Xenopus tropicalis: one gene and its partner. The protein of the gene in region 1 interacts with the protein of each later gene in a pairwise test. Links are inferred from orthologs where the notes say so. Each region holds a gene or a part of one and is shown in the gene's direction. Other genes may lie near its edges.

Evidence for each region.
Region 2: the proteins of npas2 (region 1) and arntl2 interact in binary tests that used the Homo sapiens proteins (3 or more experiments, as listed by UniProt). The link is inferred for Xenopus tropicalis from reciprocal best matches to the Homo sapiens genes NPAS2 and BMAL2.

Annotation. Positions count from the first base shown.
Region 1 is NC_030678.2:110,289,781-110,305,842, forward strand, and holds the end of npas2 (neuronal PAS domain-containing protein 2), read left to right. Parts: intron 1-1,041; coding exon 1,042-1,266; intron 1,267-2,671; coding exon 2,672-2,865; intron 2,866-4,766; coding exon 4,767-4,850; intron 4,851-8,908; coding exon 8,909-9,083; intron 9,084-9,774; coding exon 9,775-9,921; 3' UTR 9,922-11,824; downstream 11,825-16,062. Other genes in the region: rpl31 (60S ribosomal protein L31), read left to right, coding at 15,401-15,507. UniProt on the Homo sapiens protein: Transcriptional activator which forms a core component of the circadian clock.
Region 2 is NC_030679.2:2,983,232-2,999,293, reverse strand, and holds part of arntl2 (aryl hydrocarbon receptor nuclear translocator-like protein 2), read left to right. Parts: intron 1-9,047; coding exon 9,048-9,195; intron 9,196-10,211; coding exon 10,212-10,250; intron 10,251-14,028; coding exon 14,029-14,186; intron 14,187-14,317; coding exon 14,318-14,397; intron 14,398-16,062. UniProt on the Homo sapiens protein: Transcriptional activator which forms a core component of the circadian clock.

The DNA of each region.
Region 1 (16,062 bases):
CTGGGATAAAGGGTATTTCCATACTTTGGATCTTTTTACCTTCTACTTAAAATTTTAAATATCTGCTAAAAAATTATTTAAACATAAAATAAACCCAATAGGATTGTTTTGCCTCCAATAAGGATTTATTATATCTTAGTTTGGATCAAGTACGCAGTGCTGTTTTATTATTACAGAAAAAAAGGAGATGGCCTTCCCATCATTTGGAGCTTTCTGGATAATGGGTTTCCAGATAACAGAACCCATACCATGTAACTTGGAAAGCAATGGATACACAAGAACTTTTATTTGTCTTAAATGCATTGACTACAAAATGGGCAAAAATGGGTGCATGCCACTATTTTTGCACTTTGCACCTTGCCTTACATGCTAAATGACATGCAACAGGTGTAAGCGTAGCGGATGGTGTAAGGCATTGCTTATTTACAAGTAGTGGACCAGTTTTATCTCATAAAGCATGTTAGAGGGCCAGGTTCAATTAAAATAATGATGTCATATAGTGAAATATATGGAACAGACTAAGTGCCATAAAAATCCCTTGAAGGGTCACATCAGGCCTTCATTTGGAAAACCATGCCCTAAGGCTAGTGCCATAAATGGGTGATTCTTGCAAATAATCAGAAGGCCCCTAAGCTCCTTAAAAGCTTCTTTACGTATGTTTTTCTGCAGGCTAAGAATGCCCACATGTGGCACTAGCCTAACATGCAAGTAAGAGTACAGCTGTGGGTAAAGTCTGCAACAAGGTCCTGTATTTAAAGCCTATTGGAGGCCACAAGGACAGGCCTGTTCTGCATCCGCAGCCATTGTGCTCTGCATCATTTTTAATCCTGCACAAGGTGCAGAACAGAAAACTGCCCATGCTGCAAGTCAGACATAACTAAGCACTAAGGGGAATGTTTTACCGTTCCTTAGCGCTCTTTCATAATTCTTGCCAAACCATCTGCTTTGTGGTTGATTCTTTCACCCCCTCCCTCCTGCTCTTCTATACCTTTGTCTTTAGTGTTATGCAGGACAGACTAAAATATACTCATCTTCCTTTAGATATTTTGTCATCCCCAAACACCTGCTCTAAACTTCAGCAACCTACACCAAACAGAGACACAGCAGCATCCAGTCCAACAGAGATCCAGCACCATACCTCAGCAACCACAGCACATTATGCTGAGCCTTCCAACTCAAGGGCAGATTATCTCTAAACTGATTCCAGGCCAGCATGTGGTTTCATCTCAGCAAGTGCTCAGGGATTCCACTGTACTGTCAAGTAAGGTAAAGCATAATTTATTTTAAGAACTTTGACAATTTTATTTCTTACTAACACCAAAAAGGCAGATATATAAATATATATATATATATATGTATAGTATATATTTTCTATAGTACAGGAATACCTGCAGTTGAAGCTCAAAACCAGCTTCCACCACTCTTTCTGCAAATGATGCAGTGCAGGTATAGGATCTATTACCTGCAACTTGGACCACCATTCTTAATGGCTACTAAAAAAACATTTAAACATCAAATAAAACAAATAGGATTGTTTTACCCCCAACATGGATTTATGAGCTTATTTACTCATTCCTCTGTATTACTACAGAGGAAGGGGAAATCAGTTAGGATAATGTCCCACAGGGAGATTTAGTAGCTGCGATTTTTAAAAAGCGAGTTCCAGAGACAAGTCGCTCGTTTTTTCTCTACATAGAGAAAGCATTGTCATTCATAACCAAAACTATTCGAATCAACTCGTTTTTTAAAAATCACAGCGACTAAATCTCCCCATGGGACATTAGCCTTAAAAAATAGGATTTGCTTAAATATGACTATATGGAAAATGCAATTAAACTATAGTTCCAGCACTGTAGAGTCTATGTTGTGGCCACTGGCACTAAAAGGGTTAACAGCACAAAAGTTGCAAATCCAAACTATTCTGTTCATAATAGTATACAATTATCAATTATATGTATTTCTTAAAGGGAATCACTCATGATTTCCTTATATAATTCTAAGCATTTTGGCTTCAAAAGTGATACGTAAATGTAACTGCTGTTGAGAGCATTTGCTTGTTTCCCTCTGCAGTTCCCTTTCTTTCTATTGAAACAGTGTAGCAGAATCCAGCAATTCCATTTACAAATACAGGAACAAAACCTGTTATACAGAATTCTTGGAACCTGGTATTTTCTACATAAGGAATCTTTCTGTAATTTGGATTTCCATACCTTAAGTCTATTAAAAACTGTAAATCACTTATTTTTGTATAAAGAATGGCAAAATATTTGTATTGACAAGCAGAATATTCTGCTGACAAGCAGACAGGCAATTTCTTTATGCAAGAAAAAATGTGTTCAAGCTGCATCAGCAGTTTCAGCTCATAACATTACTAGTGGGACCTTGCTCTGGATATACAGAAGGCTTTCTCAATGAACAGTAATAGGGATTTCTGCAACCTAACAATATCTTGAAGGCTAACTATTATTGTCTTACAGCAGCAAAAGTGAAGTGTACAAAATATTACATTGTGTAATGTATACCAACTCTGTACAGTGTTGGGGATGGCATGCTAATACTACAGAGCTTTAGATTTCCCACAGGCTTAATGTGAGGTTGTAAACTAATTGGACAATGTATCATAGTGTGCAAGCGCCTGCTATGGATTAACAGTACAGAGTATTTGTTCTAGGGACAGAAATCAATAAGAAGTCTGCATGAAATATCAGACAGCGCCCAGCCATCTACCAGAAATGCTACCTCTCAGCTCAATGATCCCTCCTCCAAAGTGACACAAAGTCTGGACGTAGTACCATCTTCTGATTCACAGCAGGAAAGCATTCAGCGTTCTACTGCACCAGACTTCAGCCATGACAGGCAGCTAAGGTCAGCTTCTTATTACTGTCTACAGTGTACATACATGGTGCCTGTGAACTCTGCATCTGTTTGCCAGGTTTACAAATAGGGACGCTTTTTAACTAACGTAATTGTCTCTGGGGAGGGTGCATCAAGGGGGGACAATGGAGGGCAGTGGATGGGGCTTTGGTTTGTGGGGAGGATTTAGTTCTCTTTTAAACAACCCTTCCCTTTTTAAAAATGCCCCTGATATATTCTATTTATCTATTATTATCTCTAAATAACAAATTATTTTGCCAAAAACTGAGGGTGTGCAATAAGACAAAATAATGTATGTATAATGTACCCTACCTTGACCCAAAATTTAATTTATCAGCTAGTGACAATAGAACATGGGTCACACTGGACTGCAGATAGGCCTTTGCTAAGTGAAGAAGGACATGAGAGGATCTCTGGTGCAGTATCAAAGCAAACAGGACGAGGTTCTTCCAAATGAACAGGCTTATTGTGAAAAGTTTTCACAAGGCAGAGCTGAATAATATGACACCACTGTGGATATGCATGGTACTATAGGTTTAAGATACACCTTTAGGTTACCAGCTAGTGGTCTGGATCCTGTCAACTGGAATTGTTCAGGAAGTGATACACTAAAGCCTGAATCTTTTCAGCAGTTTGATCCCCTCACTTTAGGACCTATGGGAGAGCTACCTCTAGCTATCAGTTCTAATGTGGAGCACAAAGCTCCTTTTCTGACCTTTTCTAGAAAAATTGTCCATCTATGGCAGAACTTTTTACTGGGCCTTATTGACCCCAGGCCCCCCAGCATACATTCACCTAGGTCAGAACATGGAAGCCAAAGAGGGAAAACCACCCCTTTCCAATAACTGTATCAAAGTGTGTGGCAGGAAGTGGTTACTAACCTATTGGCCAATAACAAAGATATGAAAATAAGATAGATAAATACAAAGGCTTCTGCCTAGCAACTAGGGAAATATCATTTGTAGGAAATTTACATCCATGGGGACAGTTAACCCTATGGGCCCCTACAATAACACACTTGTTTTGCAACTGATTTCATTTACTATTTAGTCTACAACAACACAACAAAATTGTGACACGTTTAAGGGTCCTTAGCAATGCTGTTTGTTCTGAAGACAGGAGAAGCATCTGTAAATGTATCTGTATTTCTTTTGCTGTCTGTAAAATATAAGGCAATATTATGGGGCACATTTACTAACCCACGAACGGGCCGAATGCGTCCGATTGCGTTTTTTTCGTAATGATCGGTAATTTTGCGATTTTTTCGTATTTTTTGCGATTTTTTCGGCGTCTTTACGATTTTTGCGTAAAAACGCGAGTTTTTCGTAGCCATTACGAAAGTTGCGCAAAGTCGCGATTTTTTCGTAGCGTTAAAACTTGCGCGAAACGTCGCGCCTTTTAAGTTTTAACGCTACGAAAAAGGCGCGACTTTGCGCGCAAGTGTTAACGCTACGCTTTTTTTCGTATTTTTTGCGATTTTTCCGGCGTCTTTACGATTTTTGCGTAAAAACGCGAGTTTTTCGTAGCCATTACGAAAGTTGCGCAAAGTCGCGATTTTTTCGTAGCGTTAAAACTTGCGCGAAACGTCGCGCCTTTTAAGTTTTAACGCTACGAAAAACTCGCGTTTTTACGCAAAAATCGTAAAGACGCCAAAAAAATCGCAAAAAATACGAAAAAGTCGCAAAATGTTCGTTTCCAATCAGAATTTTTCCAATTCGGATTCGAAATCGTGTCTTAGTAAATCAGCCCCTATGTGTATATACTGATGGTAAAGGATAGATGAATGATGGAATTAGCAAATTTTCTAATAATGTTATATGTGTGAACAACAGCTACAACAAATCTACTCTCTGTGTACCCTACAGTGTAATAAGTGTAAATGTTTTTTATAGGCTGTTGCTGAATCAACCAATCCAGCCAATGATGCCAGTCTCATGTAACAAAAGGCAGACCTTAGATACTGGATGTCAGTCAAAGTACGTACTACATCTGCAGTAAACAGTGGTTTGTCCTGCTTGATAAGCGTTAAATCTTTTAGATGAATATAAGGTAAAACATAAAACATACCTATATCATTGTATATAAAAGAAATTAGTAACCCATTCTGATAGCAGAGGTTAGCAATACCAGAAAGAATATTGATGTTATAAAGACATATACCATAACTAAAAACCTCTCCAGTCTTGTAGGCGATAATAAATAACATAAGATGCTGATTTTACTTTGTGGCAAAAATTAATATTATCTTTAAAAAGACCACTTAATTGGAGCTCCCTGGTCAGAAGCACAGCAGGAGGGGGTTGCCAATCACAGGCTTGCAGTTACACAAGCAAAGGCAGGATTCAGTTCCCTATCAGGTCAGTCCAGCTGCTGATTGGTTCCTGTTCTACAGTGTGCTGAGTGCCACGGGCTCTCCTGCACAGCCTGGGAAAGGAGGCAGCAGGAAGATGGCAGGGGAGAGTAAGGTTTTGGTTTTTCAATAATCAACCCGATACACTACTTTTCTGAGTGAATTTCTTTTATATTTAGAGGAGTATAATGCAATGGCACATTCTTAATTTTCGCACAAAGCCCAAATGACTCATGGGATTTTTTTTATAGTACAGGTATCGGACCCCTTATCCGGAAACCCGTTATCCAGAAAGCTCCGAATTACGGAATGCCCGTCTCCCATAGACTCCATTTTAATCAAATAATTCAGAATTTTAAAACTGATTTCCTTTTTCTATGTAGAAACATGGGCGTCCGCAGAAAATTTTCCAAGGGGGGGCAAGTAAGCTAGTATCATCCTGCAACAGACAAATATATATATATATATATATATATATAAATATATATATTTTTTTTGCAGGATGATACTAGGGGAGGCTAAAGATGGCCCATACACAGACTGACCTACAGCTAATGTGACACTTAGTGGATTCGCTGCTGGCGTAAAAAGTTAACCTCCCAACTACCTCTTGCCGTTCCCACTGACTCCCAGGGATACTGTACAAAAGTGCGGGGGGGGCTTTTTTGTTTTTACCCTAAAATGTTTAGTATGTTAAAGTATTTATATGCGCATTTCTGTGAGGGGATCTGCAAACATTTGTGTTTGTGATCAGGGCTAGTTCGCATTCAAATTCACTTTTATTTTTAATGGTTTTTCAGTTATTTAGCTTTTTGTTCAGCAGCTCTCCATTTGGTATTTCAGCAGCTATCTGGTTGCTAGGGTCTTATTTACCCTAGCAACCAGGTAGTGGTTTAAACAAGAGATGGGAATATGAATAGTTAAGGGGCCTACTTGGAAAAATAAGTAATACAAAATTATAATAATAATAAAATTGTAGCCTCACAGAGCAATATTTTTGGCCCCCATTTGAAATCTGTATAGAGGCAGAACAGAGGCCTGTGTATAGTACCTGGGTATAGTACCTGTGTATAGTGCCTGTGTATAGTACCTGGGTATAGTACCTGGGTATAGTACCTGTGTATAGTGCCTGTGTATAGTACCTGGGTATAGTACCTGTTTATAGTGCCTGTGTATAGTACCTGCGTATAGTGCCTGGGTATAGTGCCTGCGTATAGTACCTGCGTATAGTACCTGCGTATAGTGCCTGGGTATAGTGCCTGCGTATAGTGCCTGCGTATAGTGCCTGCGTATAGTGCCTGGGTATAGTGCCTGCGTATAGTGCCTGCGTATAGTGCCTGGGTATAGTGCCTGGGTATAGTGCCTGGGTATAGTGCCTGCGTATAGTGCCTGGGTATAGTGCCTGGGTATAGTACCTGGGTATAGTACCTGGGTATAGTGCCTGGGTATAGTGCCTGGGTATAGTACCTGAGTATAGTGCCTGGGTATAGTACCTGTGTATAGTGCCTGTGTATAGTACCTGTGTATAGTACCTGGGTATAGTACCTGTGTATAGTGCCTGTGTATAGTACCTGTGTATAGTACCTGTGTATAGTGCCTGTGTATAGTACCTGTGTATAGTGCCTGTGGGATGAAATCTGCAGCAAAAGTTGAGAGTTGGTTCTCAGGTAAAGTTACAGCTGCAGATTCTTCTTTTCAGTCTTCATTTGTTTCCAGTTTGCAAAATCTCCCGATCCCTGTGTGCATCTGTGCTCTGATTGGTCAATTTTACTGTCTGTCAAGGAAGCTGTGCTCTGATTGGAGAATCCACAAGAAGAAAGATCCAATCGGAGCACAGCAAAAACGGGCTTGAGGAGACAGTGCAGAAAGTAAGGTTTTTTTTGCTACTTTTCCAGGGGGGGGCAAGTGCCCCCTCTTGCCCCCTTCTGTGGACGCCCATGTGTAGAAATAAAACAGAACCTTGTAATTGATTCCAACTAAGATATAATTAATCCTTATTGGATGCAAAACAATCCTATTGGGTTTAATTAATGTTTTATTGATTTTTTAGTAGACTTAAGGTATTGAGATCCAAATTACGGAAAGACCCCTTATCCGGAATACCCTTGGTCCCGAGCATTCTGGATAATGGGTCCTATACCTGTAGTAGCTTTACAGTGGTATTGGGAGACACTTTTGTTAGCCAATGTAATATATGGCATGTGCGCCAGTTCTAATTACATATAGCAACCAATTAGCAAGTAGTGTTTACCAATCACTTGCTTGAAAGCAAATGTACTAAAGCTGTTGCTAAGTTGCAAATGTTACTAAGCCTGTTGCTAAGTTTGTAATGCTCCTTACATTGGCCTCTACGTATGCTCTGATACCTGATGGTACAGGTATAGGACCCATTATCCAGAATGCTCGGGACCAAGGGTATTCCGGATAAGGGGTCTTTCTGTAATTTGGATCTCCATACCTTAAGTCTACTAAAAAATTAATAAAAAGTTAATTAAACCCAATAGGACTGTTTTGCATCCAATAAGGATTATTTATATCTTAGTTGGGATCAATTACAAGGTATTGTTTTATTTTTACATAGAAAAAGGAAATCAGTTCTAAAATTCTGAATTATTTGATTAAAATGGAGTCTATGGGAGACGGGCTTTCCGTAATTCGGAGCTTTCTGGATAACGGGTTTCCGGATAAGGGGTCCGATACCTGTATCACCAAAATGCAAACCAGGCTTAACAGCTTAACCAGTGAAACAGCAGGATATTAGTCAAAGATTGCTTAACAGCCAACAACCAAAAATATTTTTAGCTAAAATAAAACACTGTATATATACTCCATACTGGAGACAAAACAATCCTGTTAGGTTAAATTAGTGTTTAAATTATTTTTTAAAAGACTTAAGGTATGGATATCCAAATTACAGAAAGACCCCTATATCTGGAAAACACAAGCAGGTCTCAAGCATTCTGGATAGCAGGTCCCATACCTGTACCAATCTTAATCTTGCTCCTTCAGTACGCCTGCCACACTGTATCCTTATTCTTTAAAAACAAATGTAGGTTTATTTTGATATAACACTACAGGACTTGCTTGCCTTGCTCTGGGATTTTTATGGTCTAAGTAACATAATTTCAAAACTGAGATTGGCTACTTCACACCATTACTTACAAGTATGTTATATTTAATTTTTATATGCTCAGTGTTGAAAACATTAATGAACAGAACATTTTTTTTGTGGAGAATGAATATAATTGCATTTGCTCACTAGACTGAAAATACATCTAATCCACACATATCAGCCCAACAGCAACCTGGCTGTCAACTGAACCATGCACTTTATGCAATAATCTAGACCAGATTATAGGATTAAAGTGTTGTAGTGTTATATCAAAATATACTTAGTTATGTACCAATGTCTAACAGAACCCAGATTATAGGTACATGCTGTAGGATATAGGATTGCATACAAAAGTGTGTGTCTGTGGCGAGGGGGGGGTTGGGATATTGACTACATTCAGTGCATTTTTCAGATGCATTATCAGATAGGGTCACAACCACACATTGGGTAAAACTGTTAATCTCTTAATTTAATTGTATTCCAGCAGTTGCAACTCTTAGGCACTTGTGACATTGATTCTTATATAATTTGGACAAAAAGAGAGTGTTTTTTCCTTTTCTTTTTTTGAATAGGTATTTGCAAAATTCACAAATACTTAGAAATGTAGAGGTGCAGACTTCTGGCACTAGTGCGCCTATTGTCATAATGGGGCAAGCAATCTTACATCCAGTTGTTTCTACAACTCATCCCTCCCAGCAGCAAAATCTACAGACTATGCATCTACAACAGCAGCAGCAATATGTACAGGTAAAACACTGTTATGTAGACACATTTCTAAAAATAAAAAACACCCTAGGCCCTTCTGCTTTGTTCAGACAATTAATCCATCTTCTAGTGCTGACTCCAGCAATATTGTACTGTAATTCCCTATGCTCATATATCTAGCAGAATTTCACGGTAATTGTTATACATATCCTATAGACCTACTCCCAGTCCCCAGAAGTGCTTAAAATGAATAAATCCAATTGACAACTAGCTAAAGACACTCCGTAAATTAGATCTGTGAATAAGTGACTAAGAAACAACCAGAACTAAAACCAAAAAAATAATATAGGGAGGGATTGCCGTGGTAGGGAAGACTCTACCTCATTTCTATTGGGAAGTCCACATAGCACAATGCAAAACTTTGTCCAAAAGTCCTTAGAATTATGTTTTCTTTTATTAGGCAAAAAATTATTTTTGCAGTTGACATGTCCCTAAGAAGTCTCTGTAAGAGTTAATACAGCTGCTCCATAAGTGAATATAAAAATGCATATCTGTTATTGATCCACTATGTCTGAGAGACTTGGTACCACATTGCACACACATTTTACCTGACTCCAACCTCAATGCTAGAAAGTTCCTAAGAATGAATACTTTATGTAAAAAATTAACTCTGCTTCATAAAAACCGTCTATATCCTTATTTATTACTCCATTCTCTTTGTTGTATCCATTAGAGCCCAAGTTCTTTTCAAAACCAACAGCCAGATTCTTTGGGCTTGCCCACCTATGCTCAGCAGCAAGACACGATTGGATTTCACCAACAGCAACAACTAACACTAACAAGGACTAAAAGCCTTTCTGAGAAATCAGGTGTACTTTAGAATGCTTGCTTTGTTAATTCTTTACTGCACTAGCCCAACGCATATCTACCGGAACCTGGATTGCCTTACATTTTGGACCTTGCTGTTTAGTAGAATACGTGGGAAAGCAGTTGATAAATATGCAGCCAAGATCATGAAGCTAACAAAGAATTTTGTGTTGCTTGTAATTACAATTTATGGATTTATATTGACTCATACAAACTGATCTTTAAAGTCATAATTCTGCTTTCAAACAACCCTTTTGTGACAAATTCCAGCACTTTTCAATTTGTCAATTCATTTTTTAATCTTTATTTAATGTAATAAGAAACCTTGGAAAGGAGACCTTACAAATATCATAGAAAGCATATGTATATCTAGTAAGTTGCTACTCCTTAACATTTTCTTTTCCATGTTAATGACCTAACATATATAAGCATTGAATATAATGACGCAAAACAGAAACATTATAAACAGAAGCAGATTAACTCTATCAAAGGACAGAAGTAAAGCTGTTACTCATCCACCCCTGCTCTGCCCCCACTAAACACCACTGTGCCCCCTGAAAACCATGTGCCCAGGGTTGCTTTTCACATACAATATTTTTGCTAGTGAATTAGTTATTATTATTTCCTTTCTTGATCTTCAGATTCAATTTTTTCCCTGAGCAATAGGCCTGTATATATTCTTTTTATCACTACACTATTGGAATATTGATAGGAAACCCAACGCATTACACAGACTAAGATAATATGCTGGATGCCTTTCAAAATGAGCCTTAAGATTCATTTTACTGATAAAACAAAGGTATTTTTGAAATATCTATGACATATAAATATCTCATGAATAGTTAGGGAAAAAAGAAATGTCATGCTAATTGAAATATTCAAACTGATTTTTTTTAAACTTACTCTTAGGTTTTTAGTTCCTTCTTTGAGGCAAGTGAAATAAAGGGCTGCTTGTGTTTATGAAAGAAAAGAATACTTTATAGTAGGCTGAGCTCACATGCATCTAAACCTACATGTTAAGTTGATGATGGTTCATTAAAGTGGCATCAAACCTTCTTATTTTTTTTTTTTTACCAACTAGCCCCCTCTATTGCATTTGCCCCTTCCCAACTTTATCAACCCGACAAACTGACAGCCAAGTTCAGAGCTGCACAATGAGTTTAGCAGGCTGCCATTTTTGACAGCTTAATTTTCTGGTCCACACTTCACTGTGGGGAACATTTACACTAGAAGCCAGGGCAAGGTCATCTTCCAGAATGCATTCTTCTGCTTAGTGATCATCGTTGTGAAGCCTTGGGACTGATGTGGCCAAACATGAGAGAATGACCATGGACTGGAAGATGAAGTGGGCAGGGACAAAATAGGTAAAAGCATTCTAATAACATTCTAATAACAATATATATCTAGTGATCAAAAATAAAAAATTATTGCAGAACTTTGTATAAAGGACTTACGAAAAAAGCTTTAGCTCCTAGTTGCTCTGTGCTGCAACCAAATACAACTGCAAAAATCCAAAAAGTAGGAGAAAAAGCTAGATATATCTAGTGATCTAGCTGCATATCTTATTACAACAACCTTAGATAAAGATGTTAAACAAAAAGGCAAATAATTGAAGAATTATCAAAACAGAAACCAAATGCAAATTGCCTTTTAATGTCAACAACATACTAAATGTTAACTATAAACTCAAACTTTTCCTTGCAAATGAATATACTACAGGTTAATTTGCAGGGTGATGCAAGTTATACATTCTCCAAAAGATTCATTGTAACAAGTGCACTTTTTGAATTCTATTTTTTATATGATTTGTTGACATTTCTGTAACAAAATGATATATGTAACCAGAGTACAGTATTGTACAGTTATTGTAATGATGACTTATTTCTATAAAAAAATAAAACCAAAAATTTACATTTCTTATTTGTTGCGTAATATTATTTATATTTTTCTTATTTGTAACTGTTTAAATTAAATTAATTCATATACTGTATTTAGAGGGCACAGATAAGCATAAAATACAAGTTGTGTTTTTTCCTGCAGTTTAGTAAGGCCAGCCTTAGGGTTAATATTGAATACCTTTACCAGCACCTCTTCTACAGTGTAAATTGTTATTCTGCATTTAGTTTACTAATTATTCATGCTTCAGTGGATTCCCTTGATTTCTTTCATGCTCACTTTGTGAAAAGCAGACACAATTGCACTGTGTAGTGAGCATAGGGCTTTTATTGGATGTTGCCTGCAGTCTTTGCAGCCATACACTGTGGTGTTTTAATGGCATAATATGTCAATTAAATCGTTAAGCTTCTTCCAAAACCCAAGACCAATAAAATGTGCAAGATAGTTCATTTAATTGAGAAGAATACAGTAGTGCTGCATATGGCGATGAGGTAACCTAACCAGGATCCCCCTTCATCAATAGGCGCAGTATTGCTTAATTTGTAAGAGAAGGCAAGAAGGACTGAAAGGAGCTGAACGCAAATATATAGGGAAGTGCATGGAGCACATTTTGACATATGTACCTTTAATAAAAAGTGGTTTTACGCTCAACTGACTGTGGGAACCAAAACTGCACTTGTGGATATACATGAGCCCTGTTGTTTATGTGGTGTGGCCCTAATATAATTTTACAAAACTAAATTTAGAATTTCATACAGCAACAACTCTTTAAATAGGTATATAATTACCAAGCTAGATATAACAGGTGGCACTGATCCGAAGACACTCAATATCAAATACTTTCCAGTTTTTTTTAAACCAAGAAAAAGACACACAGCAGAACAGAAAGCAGAACACTCCTACGAAGCTTTCATTGGGATGCCATAATGGCTGACACTTGCACATGATGGATGTGTCTTTTTTCAACCCCAGCAAGTTTGTTGCTATGTAGCTCTCTATACATTTCTGTTAATGCCATGAGTGTGCATTGTAAAATATATTCCACTTCTTTTTAACAACCAACAACATGCAGCAAGAAATCAGCACACTCTAAAGCACTTGTCATTATGATGCCATAATGGCTGACACTTGCCCCAGAAAACTTTGCAATAAAGGCATTTTAATCTACAAAGACAAGAGGTGCTGTTCCTGTTCTTCTGTACCATAATGGCTGACACTGTCACACCTCAATACACAAAATGAAGTGTATGTAACACTTAATGAGTGGGCTTCACATGCAAATGATGTTTATTTATGGCCGGACATTACCATGCAGTTGGCTGGCACTTCCAACGATGAACTATAGGTTCCCATTAACCTCAACCAAATCCCTATCTAGTACAGGATTGCTTTGGGCTCCTACACCACATACACTGGCCTTCTTGCTAGGGGCACAGCTACAATTGCTAGCTTTAAGTGGCAGTTTCCAGGGAAAGGCTGTTGGAGGTGGATTGTGAGGGGTGGCAACAAATGTGAATGTGTTTGTTATTGCTAATGGAGTAATACTTATGTGCACTTAAAAGGGCCTGTCACCACCATATAAGAAGCCACATAACGAGAGGAGCAGCTGAAGGAGTGTGTATGGGGGGGGCACTGTGTATGGGGGTATTGTCTCAATTGGGGGCACTTACTATGGGGGCGTTGTGTATGGGGGTACTTTCTATGGGGGCACTGTGTATGGGGGGTACTTTCTATGGGGGCACTGTGTATGGGGGGTACTGTCTATGGGGGCAATTGGGGGCACTTTCTTTGGGGGGGTACTGTCTATTGGGGCACTTTCTATGGGGGGTACTGTCTATGGGGGCAATTTCTATGGGGGGCACTGTGTATGGGGGGTACTGTCTATTGGACCACTGGGGGCACTGTGTATGGGGGTGCAAAACTGGTACAGTTATAACTCACTTATAACTGACTGCCTTCTCTCTATATTTGTGTTTTATATGTAGGAGTTGCTATATTGTTTTCCTTAGGTAGTACAGTATGAGGGTATGGCACAATTTGCATCTGATCTCACCATTTCAACTATATAAAGGAGTATTTTTTGGAAAAAAAAGGATGGGGTGTGGTAATTTGCGTGGCCATAAAAGTGGGCGTGGTCAAAAAATTGCAGCACTGCACACGCCAAATCTTTTTGTCCCTCTTTTCATTGTTCAAATGTTGGGAGGTATGCTTACAGTCTGAGCCGAAGGTGTGTACCTTGTAAAGATTAAAATGTGTGAACACTATAGGGGATTACATGTTTAAACAATACAGGGGAATTACAGCCTGAATCTGAGGTGTAAACCATGCAGGGGGGGCAGTTTACACAAAGGGAAGCCATCAAAGCAGCCAGACAGGTGGGGGGGGGCACACACTGGGGTGTCGTGGGCCACATGCAGCCCTCCAGTTGGACAGCACTACCTTAAACCAAAAACCAGATGACATATTTATCATGGGTTATATAATGAAGACGACTTATTAAAAACTCCCCATAATGGAAAACAAAATTCTAGTTCCAAACTATTAATAAATGAATCGCCTGACACATCAGCATTGATATACTGTGGCATTATAAAACGCATACACTTAAGATACATAAACTGTACGTTATGCAGAAAAGCCTCATTACAGTGCCTAGCACTTGCTTTCTGCGCTTCTGTTTCCTTATAGCTTTTCTCGCTAAACACAGTTACGGACGCTAAATCTATAGCAAGCTGCTTGTAACTATAGCAACCCCTTTTCCGCATACGATTCTCAGAACGTAGCGGACGTCATTACGTCGACCCGGAAACGCATTCACGGGGTTGGAGTTTACTTCACTCCCACAATCCTTTTCTACTTCCTTTCCGACATAGTCCCTGGTTGAGTGAGTACGGGCGAATGTAACTGCTCTAATTCTATCTGTAACCATCCTCGCTCTGTCTCCATCGGATACCTTCGGTTGTTCCCGGGCTTGTCTGTGAGACTCGGGGCGACAACTTAATGTCATTATCTGGAGCTAAATAGGAAATAAGATGCGTTTTGTGTATTATCTTACCCGGGAGATTAAGGCCGCGTTCCAGATGTTAGCGACATTAGGATCTATGGCATTAATGCAGATATATCAGCTAAGCCCATACCATTACAGTACTAATGAATCACTGCGGGCATTTCTGGGCCTTTATTTCATATCGCAATTGAGAGGGGGGGGGGGGTAGGTTTTCAGTAATCGCATCACCCTAGCGACGTGGGGATGGTGGACGTCTCTGTTAGAGACATTTAGTTTTTAAGAATGTGATTTGTACTATGTATGTTGCCGGCTATAGAAATCATGACATAAGCCGAATGTATTCTTCATATGAGTATTGCAGCAGTAGCCACTCGGTAGTACTGTAACTGTGTCGGCTTCCTTGTCACTGAGTGGCCGGAAAGTGTGGCTGAGGCTTGAATTGAATAAAACTCACCACGGTATCCCCATAAATCCAGTACAATCTCTGCCCTTTCCAACATTTTGCCATGTTTTCCTGCGTTTAGAATGCAGAACCTACATAAAGGTTTCATCTTTGTCACACGTCTGTTGTTTTTCTCTTTCCAAAGAAATGGCACCAGCAAAGAAGGGTGGTGAGAAGAAAAAGGGCCGCTCTGCCATCAATGAGGTGGTCACTAGAGAATACACCATCAATATTCACAAAAGGATCCATGGAATGTGAGTGTCCTTGATTTTCTATAAAAAGTTTGCTTGGATGTACTGGCTCACCGCGCTGGTCTTTAACATTAACAGTAGTGGATTTTCACGGAATAAAACTATTTAAGGGTTTTTTTCACTTGTGCCCCATATAGTTAGGGTTTTTGTCAGCTTAAAGTGATACTGACACTAAACCCGGCCATACACACAGCCATATAATTGTGCAAAACCTAGTTTCGTATGATATTCGGTACGTGTATGGCGGCTCGAAGAGGCGATCGATATCAGTCCATTGGCCAGGTTGAAAGGTTTTGATTGGGAACCATTGAAGGCACCCAAGCAAAATCTACATTCAGGGCAGAATCGCCAGGTCAAGGTAGAGATTATATTGTTTTTATCAACATATCTGACGATTCAGCGCTGAACGTCTGTGGAGGATGAGAACGATCTTTTGTGTGACCAATGGTTGCACGAAAGATCAGAATTGCTGTGTGTGTTTCACCTTAAAAATAATGCACATTAAAAGTTACCTATAGGTCATGATGATCATTTTTTGCAGATAGGGCTGCTTTTGTG
Region 2 (16,062 bases), on another chromosome or scaffold:
CTCGGTTCTATTGGCACGGTACCCTCTGTTCTATTGGCACGGTACCCTCATTCCTATTGGCACGTACCCTCGGTTCTATTGGCACGGTACCCTCGGTTCTATTGGCACGGTACCCTCGGTTCTATTGGCACGGTACCCTCGGTTCTATTGGCACGGTACCCTCGGTTCTATTGGCACGGTACCTCGGTTCTATTGGCACGGTACCCTCTGTTCTATTGGCACGGTACCCTCTGTTCTATTGGCACGGTACCCTCTGTTCTATTGGCATGGTACCCTCATTCCTATTGGCCGTACCCTCGGTTCTATTGGCACGGTACCCTCGGTTCTATTGGCACGGTACCCTCGGTTCTATTGGCACGGTACCCTCGGTTCTATTGGCACGCTACCCTCATTCCTATTGGCACGTACCCTCGGTTCTATTGGCACGTACCCTCGTTCTATTGGCACGTACCCTCGGTTCTATTGGCACGTACCCTCGGTTCTATTGGCACGTACCCTCGGTTCTATTGGCACGTACCCTCGGTTCTATTGGCACGTACCCTCGGTTCTATTGGCACGGTACCCTCGGTTCTATTGGCATGGTACCCTCGGTTCTATTGGCACGGTACCCTCATTCCTATTGGCACGGTACCCTCTGTTCTATTGGCACGGTACCCTCGGTTCTATTGGCACGTTGCCCTCGGTTCTATTGGCACGGTGCCCTCGGTTCTATTGGCACGGTGCCCTCGGTTCTATTGGCACTGTACCCTCGGTTCTATTGGCACGGTACCCTCTGTTCTATTGGCACGGTACCCTCTGTTCTATTGGCACGGTACCCTCGGTTCTGTTGGCACGGTGCCCTCGGTTCTGTTGGCAGGGTGCCCTCGGTTCTGTTGGCACGGTACCCTCGGTTCTGTTGGCTCGGTTCTATTGGCACGGTACCCCTACTTGCTATTGCCAAGTTACCTACCCACCCTGCCCTTGTACCTACCCACCTATTCACCTGCCCCAGTACCCCACCTGGCACAATGCCATGCCCCACTGTTTATTGCCCTTTTGCCTATTTGCCTTCTAACTATCCCTGACAGCCGTCATCGTTTCCTTTTCCCATTTTGTGCTGCCAGTTACTTACCCTCTCTGGCAACAAGCTGTAGTGTCTGTATAACTGCCCCGGTACCTACCTACTCGGCTGCCCTGGTACCCCTCAAGCATAGAGTTCTCTATTATGTACCTATTATCCTACTCGCCTGCATGAGTACTTACCTGCCACAGTGAGTGTTATTTGTCTATCTACTCACCCAAACCCCCCCTCCTACCCTCTCCCATCCCTGTACTTACCCCTTACTGCCCTCTGTACTTACCCCCCTGCGTCTCTCTGCTTCTGTCCTCACTGTGTCCTCAGTTACTTACATGCAACTGTCTGTCCCTTTCCCTTCCCTGCACTGCTGGTTCTGACTCCTGATACAACTCCCCAATATCCATTCATTCCTCATTCTCACTGGGTTTATAGTTATGTGTAACTGTCACTGTGTCTGTCCCTTTCCCTTCCCTGCACTGCTGGTTCTGACTCCTGATACAACTCCCCAATATCCATTCATTCCTCATTCTCACTGGGTTTATAGTTATGTGTAACTGTCACTGTGCCTGTCCTTTCCCTTCCCTGCACTGCTGGTTCTGACTCCTGATACAACTCCCCAATATCCATTCATTCCTCATTCTCACTGGGTTTATAGTTATGTGTAACTGTCACTGTGTCTGTCCCTTTCCCTTCCCTGCACTGCTGGTTCTGACTCCTGATACAACTCCCCAATATCCATTCATTCCTCATTCTCACTGGGTTTATAGTTATGTGTAACTGTCACTGTGTCTGTCCCTTTCCCTTCCCTGCACTGCTGGTTCTGACTCCTGATACAACTCCCCAATATCCATTCATTCCTCATTCTCACTGGGTTTATAGTTATGTGTAACTGTCACTGTGTCTGTCCCTTTCCCTTCCCTGCACTGCTGGTTCTGACTCCTGATACAACTCCCCAATATCCATTCATCCCTCATTCTCACTGGGTTTATAGTTATGTGTAACTGTCACTGTGTCTGTCCCTTTCCCTTCCCTGAACTGCTGGTTCTGACTCCTGATACAACTCCCCAATACCCATTCATCCCTCATTCTCACTGGGTTTATAGTTATGTGTAACTGTCACTGTGTCTGTCCCTTTCCCTTCCCTGCACTGCTGGTTCTGACTCCTGATACAACTCCCCAATACCCATTCATCCCTCATTCTCACTGGGTTTATAGTTATGTGTAACTGTCACTGTGTCTGTCCCTTTCCCTTCCCTGCACTGCTGGTTCTCACTCCTGATACAACTCCCCAATATCCATTCATCCCTCATTCTCACTGGGTTTATAGTTATGTGTAACTGTCACTGTGTCTGTCCCTTTCCCTTCCCTGCACTGCTGGTTCTGACTCCTGATACAACTCCCCAATACCCATTCATTCCTCATTCTCACTGGGTTTATAGTTATGTGTAACTGTCACTGTGTCTGTCCCTTTCCCTTCCCTGCACTGCTGGTTCTGACTCCTGATACAACTCCCCAATATCCATTCATCCCTCATTCTCACTGGGTTTATAGTTATGTGTAACTGTCACTGTGTCTGTCCCTTTCCCTTCCCTGCACTGCTGGTTCTGACTCCTGATACAACTCCCCAATATCCATTCATTCCTCATTCTCACTGGGTTTATAGTTATGTGTAACTGTCACTGTGTCTGTCCCTTTCCCTTCCCTGCACTGCTGGTTCTGACTCCTGATACAACTCCCCAATATCCATTCATCCCTCATTCTCACTGGGTTTATAGTTATGTGTAACTGTCACTGTGTCTGTCCCTTTCCCTTCCCTGCACTGCTGGTTCTGACTCCTGATACAACTCCCCAATACCCATTCATCCCTCATTCTCACTGGGTTTATAGTTATGTGTAACTGTCACTGTGTCTGTCCCTTTCCCTTCTCTGCACTGCTGGTTCTGACTCCTGATACAACTTCCCAGATAGATTTGTTTTTTCCAACAGCTTCATCTGTTTTGGCAACAATAACCCTACAGACTGGGTGCCAGGGCCAGTACCTTCCCTATACTGAGGGTGGCGCTCCTGAGCCTGTTGGGCTGCCATTGCTAAGTCCACATTTGGGAGTCTTTATTTTGTGCTGAGTCTGATGATGTCCAGACTTGCAGTTGGTCTTCCTGCAGGCAGCTTTGTTTCACGGGGGGATTTCATTATCCTTTCTTTATTTTCATTGGGGTGGGGTACAGCATCATGTGAACTCCCTCACCGCCACTTTCTCTCAACTCCATTTACACAAGATTTAGTATGTCGTTATACACTCCCCCGTGCAAAGGAAGCAGAGACAGTCACATGGGTACCGGGAAATACACTCCCCCGTGCAAAGGAAGCAGAGACAGTCACATGGGTACCGGGAAATACACTCCCCCGTGCAAAGGAAGCAGAGACAGTCACATGGGTACCGGCAAATACACTCCCCCGTGCAAAGGAAGCAGAGACAGCCACACGGGTACCGGGAAATACACTCCCCCCGTGCAAAGGAAGCAGAGACAGTCACACGGGTACCAGGAAATACACTCCCCCCGTGCAAAGGAAGCAGAGACAGTCACACACGGGTACCAGGAAAATACACTCCCCCGTGCAAAGGAAGCAGAGACAGTCACATGGGTACCGGGAAATACACTCCCCCGTGCAAAGGAAGCAGAGACAGTCACACGGGTACCAGGAAATACACTCCCCCGTGCAAAGGAAGCAGAGACAGTCACATGGGTACCGGGAAATACACTCCCCCGTGCAAAGGAAGCAGAGACAGTCACACGGGTACCAGGAAATACACTCCCCCGTGCAAAGGAAACAGAGACAGTCACACGGGTACCAGGAAATACACTCCCCCGTGCACAGGAAGCAGAGACAGTCACTGTGACATTCAGTCACAGCCTTACTATACACACACACATGCTGCAATAATATCCTTGCTGGCTGCTCCCGGGGGTGATGACATGTAACTTACTCCTTAGCGAATCTAAAATAAACCCTGTGAGTAAGAGGAACGCCATTGGGCGCGGCAGGAACAGGAGCCGCCACTGAGCCTCACGTTTATGGGAAATGAATGGGCCGAGTACAGGCAGTCCCTTCTGTAACTGGATCTACTGCCCGCCCTATACTCTTATTATTATTATTATTATTATTATTATTAATAACCGCCTAGTCTGGGGCCCCTCAAACCAGGGCTCAGTGGGAAAGGGGCAGCCCCCAAAGTTATTGACCCCCGGGATAAAATTGGTCTTCACATTTTATTATTTGCGGTTTTTGAATTTTTTAGCTTTTTGCACAGCGGCACTCCAGGTTGGAAATTTCAGCAGCTGTGTGGTTGCCAGGGCTCAATTTAACCTAGCAACCAGGCAGTGGTTTGAATGAGAGACAGGAATATGAACAGGGGAGGGGCTGAATAGAAAGATAAGGAATAAAAAGTAACAATAACAATAAAACTGGAGCCTCACAGAGCAAAAGGGTTTGGCTGCCGGGGTCAGCGACCCCCATTTGAAGATACAGAAGAAGACGGCAAATAATTCAAAAACCATAAAAAATAAATTATGAAGACCAATTGAAAAGTTGCTTAGAATGGGCTATTCTATAACATAGTAACACTTTAAAGACTTCCCTCGGACACCGGAAAGAGCCACGTGACCCATTTTTTGCGCGGCCGTGCCATTATGCCCATATTGCGTGCCCATATAGCCCCGCCTCTGCCTTAGTCATTGCCACGGAAAGTAGGTCAGGGCGTGACTCTCACGAGCTCGCTGGTTGGCATTGTTTCCCTTCCCAGAGATCCCTGCTTCTGCCCCAGCTAGATTAACCCTTTCCCTGATCGGCATCAGCCATGTCTGTACTGTTCCACCTATCTGCCGGCCTGGCCAGGCTCACTTTCTGGCAGCTTAGTGTATGGGAAACTCTATGGCGGAGAGTGGGGGCAACTGCGTCCTGCTCGGGGCAAGTCACGTGATGTCAGGGAGCGATATGACTTTAAGTGAGTCTGCCCGGACTGCTAGATAGGGCTTGTTAGGCTAGAAATGCAATAGGCGTGACTCATTGAGTGCGGGAGAGCGAAGAGCTGACGCTTATATGTCATTATTAAAGAGGCTGGGCCCCCTTAGCCCATAACAAGGTTACAGATATATAGAAACATTGGGGTAACAGTCACCCCGCTATAGTTCCAGGGGTACCCAGGGCACAAATAAGCACTCACCCCAAATCCCCCCCTAACTGGCCTTCAGGCTGGGCCCCCTTAGCCCATAACAAGGTTACAGATATATAGAAACATTGGGGTAACAGTCACCCCGCTATAGTTCCAGGGGTACCCAGGGCACAAGCACTCACCCCAAATCCCCCCCTAACTGGCCTTCAGGCTGGGCCCCCTTAGCCCATAACAAGGTTACAGATATATAGAAAACATTGGGGTAACAGTCACCCCGCTATAGTTCCAGGGGTACCCAGGGCACAAATAAGCACTCACCCCAAATCCCCCCCTAACTGGCCTTCAGGCTGGGCCCCCTTAGCCCATAACAAGGTTACAGATATATAGAAACATTGGGGTAACAGTCACCCCGCTATAGTTTCCAGGGGTACCCAGGGCACAAGCACTCACCCCAAATCCCCCCCTAACTGGCCTTCAGGCTGGGCCCCCTTAGCCCATAACAAGGTTACAGATATATAGAAACATTGGGGTAACAGTTACCCTGCTATAGTTCCAGGGGTACCCAGGGCACAAATAAGCACTCACCCCAAATCCCCCCCTAACTGGCCTTCAGGCTGGGCCCCCTTAGCCCATAACAAGGTTACAGATATATAGAAACATTGGGGTAACAGTCACCCCGCTATAGTTCCAGGGGTACCCAGGGCACAAATAAGCACTCACCCCAAATCCCCCCTAACTGGCCTTCAGGCTGGGCCCCCTTAGCCCATAACAAGGTTACAGATATATAGAAACATTGGGGTAACAGTCACCCCGCTATAGTTCCAGGGGTACCCAGGGCACAAATAAGCACTCACCCCAAATCCCCCCCTAACTGGCCTTCAGGCTGGGCCCCCCTTAGCCCATAACAAGGTTACAGATATATAGAAACATTGGGGGTAACAGTCACCCCACTATAGTTCCAGGGGTACCCAGGGCACAAATAAGTACTCACCCCAAATCCCCCCTAACTGGCCTTCAGGCTGGGCCCCCTTAGCCATAACAAGGTTACAGATATATAGAAACATTGGGGTAACAGTCACCCCGCTATAGTTCCAGGGGTACCCAGGGCACAAATAAGTACTCACCCCAAATCCCCCCCTAACTGGCCTTCAGGCTGGGCCCCCTTAGCCCATAACAAGGTTACAGATATATAGAAACATTGGGGTAACAGTCACCCCGCTATAGTTCCAGGGGTACCCAGGGCACAAATAAGCACTCACCCCAAATCCCCCCCTAACTGGCCTTCAGGCTGGGCCCCCTTAGCCCATAACAGGGTTACAGATATATAGAAACATTGGGGTAACAGTCACCCCGCTATAGTTCCAGGGGTACCCAGGGCACAAATAAGCACTCACCCCAAATCCCCCCTAACTGGCCTTCAGGCTGGGCCCCCTTAGCCCATAACAAGGTTACAGATATATAGAAACATTGGGGTAACAGTCACCCCGCTATAGTTCCAGGGGTACCGCAGGGCACAAATAAGCACTCCCCCAAATCCCCCCCTAACTGGCCTTCAGGCTGGGCCCCCTTAGCCCATAACAAGGTTACAGATATATAGAAACATTGGGGTAACAGTCACCCCGCTATAGTTCCAGGGGTACCCAGGGCACAAATAAGCACTCACCCCAAATCCCCCCTAACTGGCCTTCAGGCTGGGCCCCCTTAGCCATAACAAGGTTGGGGCTCCGTAGCCAGGGCACTGGGCCAGCCCCACAGTTTGGCACTGTATAAGGGTTCTGGATCCAAATCCTTCGGGGATCAGGCTGAATCCGGAACCAAATCCTGTTTGTTACATCCCTAATTGTTATTACGTTATAGATAGAATCTGTGTAGATAGAATGCCTGGCTTTGTCCTAGGCAAACCCCCTTGCCAGCCTATGTAGATAGTACACCCACGTGACCTGTTTCTAGGGCCAGAGACCCTAGCAACCAGCGAGCAGTGTCCACGGAGGGAGCCGCTCAGAGACCTAAATATAAATAGGGAAGGCCTGGGGGCTCCTGAGCGAGTTGTATTTAAATCCAAGGCCCCGTGTTCCCTTTGTTGTGACCGATCCGCCAGATAAATTGATTTCTGACTTTAAACAGCTCAGCGGGAGTCGCAGTGACAATTTTATCTCTGCGCGCCCCCCCTTAATCCTGCTCCAGTTACTTTATATGGAGGGGTTTAGCCGGGCCGACTGTCTGCCGGGGTATTTATAAGTATTTAGGTTAGTGGGCCGGTTCCCTTCTGTGCGCGGCTTAATCTGCAGCAGCAGCAGGGAGGAATCCTGAGCGTCTCTGCCTGGGGGTTAAGACTTGCCTCCCTGCATCATGCGCAGGTCACAGGGGGACACAGCTTGCACAACATAGTGATTTGGGCCTGAATTTGGCACCTTGGCCCATCACCCCCCCCCCCCCGAGGGGCCTGGCGATACCACTGGGGGGGGGGGGGGCAGACTGGGGGAGGGGTGCTGTGGCCTCTGCAGCTCTCTCAGGAGGTAATTGGTGGGGGGGGGGGCAAATAGGCTGATTTTACCACTGCAGGGTATATACAGTACATTTTGCCCCCCTACAGAACTAGCCCAGATTGCTGCTGAGAATCAATAGAGAGATATGGGGGTGGGGGGTCGTGTAAGCAGGAGGCCCAGGCAAAGCTGATTAGCGCTGATCCCTCCCCTGACCTCCATGCTTTGGGCAGCCCCCCAGCTTAATCACTGCATTAACCCTTTGTGGTATAGTTACTGTATTTCCTGGTACCCGTGTGACTGTCTCTGCTTCCTTTGCATGGGGGAGTGTATTTCCTGGTACCCGTGTGACTGTCTCTGCTTCCTGTGCACGGGGGAGTGTATTTCCTGGTACCCGTGTGACTGTCTCTGCTTCCTTTGCATGGGGGAGTGTATTTCCTGGTACCCGTGTGACTGTCTCTGCTTCCTTTGCACGGGGGAGTGTATTTCCTGGTACCCGTGTGACTGTCTCTGCTTCCTTTGCATGGGGGAGTGTATTTCCTGGTACCCGTGTGACTGTCTCTGCTTCCTTTGCACGGGGGAGTGTATTTCCCGGTACCCGTGTGACTGTCTCTGCTTCCTTTGCACGGGGGAGTGTATTTCCTGGTACCCGTGTGACTGTCTCTGCTTCCTTTGCATGGGGGAGTGTATTTCCTGGTACCCGTGTGACTGTCTCTGCTTCCTGTGCACGGGGGAGTGTATTTCCCGGTACCCATGTGACTGTCTCTGCTTCCTGTGCACGGGGGAGTGTATTTCCCGGTACCCATGTGTCTGTGCTTCCCCTGGGGGGGGGGGCTTATATACATTACAGCACTGCTGGCTGAGAGGCCTATGCTAGGTGTAACAGGCTGTAGGACCATGTGACTGGGGCTCAGCGCCACAGTGAGTCATAGGCGGCTGCGTTGGGATAAACAAGGAAGTAGATGATTTGCCCCCGGGGCAGTTACACAGGATGAATGAGAAATACCTGAGTTAATGAAAAGTCTGTTTGTGCCAAACACGGATCCTGGCGCCTCTCCCTGCCGCGCGGGAAACACCGGCTCCCTTGTTGCTCTACTGGCTCGCTTGCATGTTGGCTCCGCCCCTTTATTAACCCCGTCCTGCGGGTTTGGGCAGAAGAACTGAGGGTAAAACCAGAAACAGGCAAAATCAAGAAAAATCAATTTTATTGTTGCAAATGACAAATGTAGAGGTTAAGTTCCCCTTGAATAGTTGGGATGGGGGGGGGGGGGGGTTGCTGACCCCCATTAGCCAGGTTGGTATTGCCCTGCCTGACCAGTGCTTGTTGCCCCCACAGATACCCTAATGATGGAGCCCAAGGAGTGCCTGGCCGTCTCTTCCATCCTGGGCCCCAAACCCGCGCCGACCCTCGTCACCTCCAGCTCCTTGGGGCCCAGCGCCTTGGAGTTTCCCAGGAAGCGGAAAGCCAGCGATTCCGACAACCAGTAAGTCACCCCAAGCCTTTCCAGTTTGTTAGCCCCGCCCCCCACTACTGGGGGTACTGTAATCATGGGAGAGTGACATACACAGGCTATGCAATGAGTGGGCAGGGCTTAGGCAGATTGTGGGTGGGATTTGGAATAATTAGGGAGTTGACCTTGGGTGGAGTTTGGCATAAATAGGGAGGGGCCATGGTGGGTCAGGTGTGTGGCCATGTATGGGAGGGGCATTTTGTGGGTGGAGTTTGGCATAAATAGGGAGTGGCCATGGTGGGTCAGGTGTGTGGCCATGTATGGGAGGGGCATTTTGTGGGTGGGGTTAGGCATAATTAGGGAGTTGACCTTGGGTTGAGTTTGGCATAAATAGGGAGGGGCCAAGGTGGGTCAGGTGTGTGGCCATGTATGGGAGTGGCATTTTGTGGGTGGAGTTTGGCATAAATAGGGAGTGGCCAGGGTGGGTCAGGTGTGTGTGGCCAAGTATGGGAGTGGCATTTTGTGGGTGGAGTTTGGCATAAATAGGGAGGGGCCAGGGTGGGTCAGGTGTGTGGCCATGTATGGGAGGGGCATTTTGTGGGTGGGATTTGGCATAATTAGGGAGTTGACCTTGGGTGGACTTTGGCATAAATAGGGAGGGGCCAAGGTGGGTCAGGTGAGTGGCCATATATGGGAGGGGCATTTTGTGGGTGGGATTTGGCATAATTAGGGATTGGACCTTGGGAGGAGTTTGGCTTAAATAGGGAGGGGTCAGGGTGGGTCAGGTGTGTGGCCATGTATGGGAGGGGCACTTTATTTTTCATTGGGGCCCCATTTTACCACCCAGGGGCCCCAGGTAACAGTGCACTAATAATGGGAATCCCCTGAGGGGAGGGCCGTGATTACTGGGGGTAGCCCTGGGACCTACTAACCCATTGGTCACCTGGGCCGAGGGCCAAAGTAGATGAGAATAACGGGGCCCCAATGAGGAAAAAATGTCCCCCCTGCATTTGGTCACCCGTATTTACATTTTATTTTCCTGCTCACAGAGTCACTGAAGGATCAGACGTGAATGACACTCAGGGAAGGTAAGTTGGACAGGCCAGCGGGTACCAATAGGGTGCTCTGTGTGCCCCCCCTGGCATTCCCAGTACCCAGAGGCACAAACAGCCCCCCCCAGCCCAATAAATAGTGACTGTCTGTGGCACCTTACAGCCCCCCTGGCATTCCCAGTACCCAGAGGCACAAACAGCCCCCCCCCAGCCCAATAAATAGTGACTGTCTGTGGCACCTTACAGCCCCCCCGGCATTCCCAGTACCCAGAGGCACAAACAGCCCCCCCCAGCCCAATAAATAGTGACTGTCTGTGGCACCTTACAGCCCCCCCCTGGCATTCCCAGTACCCAGAGGCACAAACAGCCCCCCCCCCCAGCCCAATAAATAGTGACTGTCTGTGGCACCTTACAGCCCCCCCGGCATTCCCAGTACCCAGAGGCACAAACAGCCCCCCCAGCCCAATAAACAGTGACTGTCTGTGGCACCTTACAGCCCCCCCCGGCATTCCCAGTACCCAGAGGCACAAACAGCCCCCCCAGCCCAATAAATAGTGACTGTCTGTGGCACCTTACAGCCCCCTGGCATTCCCAGTACCCAGAGGCACAAACAGCCCCCCCCAGCCCAATAAATAGTGACTGTCTGTGGCACCTTACAGCCCCCCCGGCATTCCCAGTACCCAGAGGCACAAACAGCCCCCCCCAGCCCAATAAATAGTGACTGTCTGTGGCACCTTACAGCCCCCCTGGCATTCCCAGTACCCAGAGGCACAAACAGCCCCCCAGCCCAATAAATAGTGACTGTCCTGTGGCACCTTACAGCCCCCCTGGCATTCCCAGTACCCAGAGGCACAAACAGCCCCCCCAGCCCAATAAATAGTGACTGTCTGTGGCACCTTACAGCCCCTGGCATTCCCAGTACCCGAGGCCACAAACAGCCCCCCCAGCCCAATAAATAGTGACTGTCTGTGGCACCTTACAGCCCCCTGGCATTCCCAGTACCCAGAGGCACAAACAGCCCCCCCCAGCCCAATAAATAGTGACTGTCTGTGGCCACCTTACAGCCCCCTGGGCATTCCCAGTACCCAGAGGCACAAACAGCCCCCCCAGCCCAATAAATAGTGACTGTCTGTGGCACCTTACAGCCCCCTGGCATTCCAGTACCCAGAGGCACAAACAGCCCCCCCCAGCCAATTAAATAGTGACTGTCTGTGGCACCTTACAGCCCCCCCTGGCATTCCCAGTACCCAGAGACACAAACAGCCCCCCCCAGCCCAATAAATAGTGACTGTCAGTGGCACCTTACAGCCCCGCCGGCATTCCCAGTACCCAGAGGCACAAACAGCCCCCCCAGCCCAATAAATAGTGACTGTCTGTGGCACCTTACAGCCCCCCCGGCATTCCCAGTACCCAGAGGCACAACCAGCCCCCCAGCCCAATAAATAGACTGTCTGTGGCACCTTACAGCCCCCCCGGCATTCCCAGTACCCAGAGGCACAAACAGCCCCCCAGCCCAATAAATAGTGACTGTCTGTGGCACCTTACAGCCCCCCCGGCATTCCAGTACCCAGAGGCACAAACAGCCCCCCAGCCCAATAAATAGTGACTGTCTGTGGCACCTTACAGCCCCCTGGCATTCCAGTACCCAGAGGCACAACAGCCCCCCAGCCCAATAAATAGTGACTGTCTGTGGCACCTTACAGCCCCCCTGGCATTCCCAGTACCCAGAGGCACAAACAGCCCCCCCCAGCCCAATAAATAGTGACTGTCTGTGGCACCTTACAGCCCCCTGGCATTCCCAGTACCCAGAGGCACAAACAGCCCCCCCAGCCAATAAATAGTGACTGTCTGTGGCACCATACAGCCCCCTGGCATTCCCAGTACCCAGAGGCACAAACAGCCCCCCAGCCCAATAAATAGTGACTGTCTGTGGCACCTTACAGCCCCCTGCATTCCAGTACCCCCAGAGGCACAAACAGCCCCCCCAGCCCAATAAATAGTGACTGTCTGTGGCACTTACAGCCCCCCCCGGCATTCCCAGTACCCAGAGGCACAAACAGCCCCCCCCAGCCCAATAAATAGTGACTGGTCTGTGGCACCTTTACAGCCCCCTGGCATTCCCAGTACCCAGAGGCACAAACAGCCCCCCCCAGCCCAATAAATAGGACTGTCTGTGGCACCTTACAGCCCCCCTGGCATTCCCAGTACCCCAGAGACACAAACCGCCCCCCCAGCCCAATAAATAGTGACTGTCAGTGGCACCTTACAGCCCCCCCGGCATTCCCAGTACCCAGAGGCACAAACAGCCCCCCCAGCCCAATAAATAGTGACTGGTCTGTGGCACCTTACAGCCCCCCCGGCATTCCCAGTACCCAGAGGCACAAACAGCCCCCCCAGCCCAATAAATAGTGACTGTCTGTGGCACCTTACAGCCCCCCCGGCATTCCCAGTACCCAGAGGCACAAACAGCCCCCCCAGCCCAATAAATAGTGACTGTCTGTGGCACCTTACAGCCCCCCGGCATTCCAGTACCCAGAGGCAACAAACAGCCCCCCAGCCCAATAAATAGTGACTGTCTGTGGCACCTTACAGCCCCCCCGCATTCCAGTACCCAGAGGCACAAACAGCCCCCCCCAGCCAATAATAGTGACTGTCTGTGCACCTTACAGCCCCCCTGGCATTTCCAGTACCCAGAGGCACAAACAGCCCCCCCAGCCGAATAAATAGTGACTGTCTGTGGCACCTTACAGCCCCCCGGCAATTCCCAGTACCCAGAGGCAACAAAACAGCCCCCCAGCATAAATAGTGACTGTCTGTGGCACTTACAGCCCCCCGGCCTTCCAGTACCAGAGCACAAACAGCCCCCCCCAGCCCAATAATAGTGACTGCTGTGGCACCTTACGCCCCCCTGGCTTTTCCCAGTACCCAGAGGCCAAACAGCCCCCAGCCCAATAAATAGTGACTGTCTGTGGCACTTACAGGCCCCCCCGGCATTCCAGTACCCAGAGGCACAAACAGCCACCCCCCCAGCCCCAATAAATATAAGTGACTGTCTGTGGGCACCTTACAGCCCCCCTGGCATTCCCAGTTACCCCAGAGGCACAAACAGCCCCCCCAGCAATAAATAGTGACTGTCTGGTGGCACCTTACAGCCGCCCCTGGCATCCCAGTACCCAGTAGGCACAAACAGCCCCCCCAGCCCAAAAATAGTGACTGTCTGTGGCACCTTACAGCCCCTGGCTATTCCAGTACCGCGAGGCAGCAAACGCCCCCCCGCCCAACTAAATAGTGACTGTCTGTGCACTTCAGCCCCCCCGGCATTTCCCAGTACCCAGAAGGCACAAACAGCCAGCCCAATAAATAGTGAGGCACCTTACAGCCCCCTGGCATTCCCCAGTACCCAGAGCACAAACAGCCCCCCCCCCAGCCCAGACCCTGTGGCACTTACAGCCCCCCGGCATTCCCAGTACGCAGAGGCACAAACAGCCCCCACAGCCCAATAAATAGTGATGTCTGTGGCACCTTACAGCCCCCCCGGCATTACAGCCCCTGTCCTGTGGCCCAGGCATTCCCAGTACCCAGACACAAAACAGCCCCCCAGCCCAAATAAATAGTGACTGTCTGTGGGCACTTACGGCATTCCCAGTACCCAGAGCACAAACAGCCCCCCAGCCCAATAACATACACTGTCCTGTGGCACCTTACAGCCCCCCCGGCATTCCCAGTACCCAGAGGCAGTGAAGCAGAAATGGACTCCCCCCCCCCACAAACTGTTGCACACAGTAGGAAATGGAGGGGTTACTTGCCCTTGCAGGGAGGCGCACAGAGAGACAGAAAAGAGGCGCAGAGAGAAAATGAACAACTTGATTGAAAACCTGTCGGCCATGATCCCCCAGAGCGGCCCGTTACCCAGCAAACCGGACAAGCTCACCGTGCTGCGCATGGCCGTCCAACACCTCAAGTCGCTAAAAGGTAAGTCCGGCCCAGGGTGTCACCCAGTGCGGTCAGCCCCGCCCCCGAGGATGTCATTTCCTGGCAGAAAGGGAATCTGGACACATTGCTAGATAGGCTTTACTTGTTCCCCGTGTCCCTTCCCTTCCCAGGGTCCAACCCCTCATTCGCCGACGAGAGCCCAAAGCCTTCCTTTCTGAAGCACGAAGAGATGAAACAGTTAATCCTGAGGGTGAGTCTGTGGGGTCCACTCCCCCTCTGTGGGTTCCTCCTGTCCCCATCTTGCCCTTCTGTCTCCATCTTGCCCTTCTGTCTCCATCTTGCCCTACTGTCCCCATCTTGCCCTACTGTCCCCATCTTGCCCTACTGTCTCCATCTTGCCCTACTGTCTCCATCTTGCCCTACTGTCCCCATCTTGCCCTACTGTCTCCATCTTGCCCTACTGTCTCCATCTTGCCCTACTGTCTCCATCTTGCCCTACTGTCTCCATCTTGCCCTACTGTCTCCATCTTGCCCTACTGTCTCCATCTTGCCCTTCTGTCTCCATCTTGCCCTTCTGTCTCCATCTTGCCCTACTGTCTCCATCTTGCCTACCTGTCCCCATCTTTGCCCTACTGTCCCCATCTTGCCCTACTGACCCCATCTTGCCCTACTGTCCCCATCTTGCCCTACTGTCCCCATCTTGCCCTACTGTCCCCATCTTGCCCTATCACTGTCCACTTACCCCACTTGGCCCTTTTCATCATGTTCTACTATCACCCCCCACCCATTGCCCCAGTGTTTTACTTTCATGTCTTGTAGTCTCCACTTGCCCTACTGTCCCTCCATCTTGGGCCCTACTGTCCCCATCTTGCCCCTACTGTCTCCATCTTGCCTACTGTCTCCATCTGCCCTTCTGTCTCATCTTGTCCTACCTGTTCCTCTTGCCCTATGGCTCCATCTTGCCCTTCTGTCTCCATCTTGCCTACCTTGTCCCCATTTGCCCTACTGTCCATCTTCGCTACTGTCCCCATCTTGCCTACTGTCCCATCTTGCCCTATCTGTCGCCCATCTTGCCCTACTGTTCCCCATCTTGCCCTCTGTCCATCTTGCCCTAACTGTCCTCCATCTTGCCCTATCTTGTCTCCATCTTGCCCCTACTGTCTCCATCTTGCCCTACTGTCTCCATCTTTGCCCTACTGTCCCCATTTGCCTACTTCCCCATGCTTGCCCTACTGTCCCCATCTGCCCTAACTGTCTTTGCCCTACTGTTCTCCATCTTGCCCTACTGTCTCCATCTTGCCCTTCTGTCTCCATCTTGTCCAACTGTCTCCATCTGCCTAATACTGTGCCCTTCCCCATCTTGCCCTACTGTCTCCAACTGCCTACTGTCTCCATCTTGCCCTACTGTCCTCCATCTTGCCCTACGTCTCCTCTTGCCCCTACTGTCCTCCATCTTGCCCACTGTCTTCCATCTTCTTGCCCTTGCCCTCTGTCTCCATCTTGCCCCCCCAGTTGCCCAGTGTTACTTTTCATGTCTTGGTAGTCCTCCCATCTTGCCCTACTGTCCCCATCTTGCCCTAACTGTCGCCATCTTGCCTCTGTCCCGATCTTGCCCTACTGTCCCCATCTTGCCCTACTGTCCTCCATCTTGCCCTTCTGTCTCCATCTTGTCCTACTGTCTCCATCTTGCCCTACTGTCTCCATCTTGCCCTACTGTCCCCATCTTGCCCTAGCTGTCCCCATCTTGCCCTACTGTCCCATCTTGCCCTACTGTCTCCATCTTGCCCTACTGTCTCCATCTTGCCCTACTGTCTCCATCTTGCCCTACTGTCTCCATCTTGCCCTACTGTCAACATCTTGCCCTACTGTCCCCCATCTTGGCCCTACTGTCCCCATCTTGCCCTACTGTCCCCAT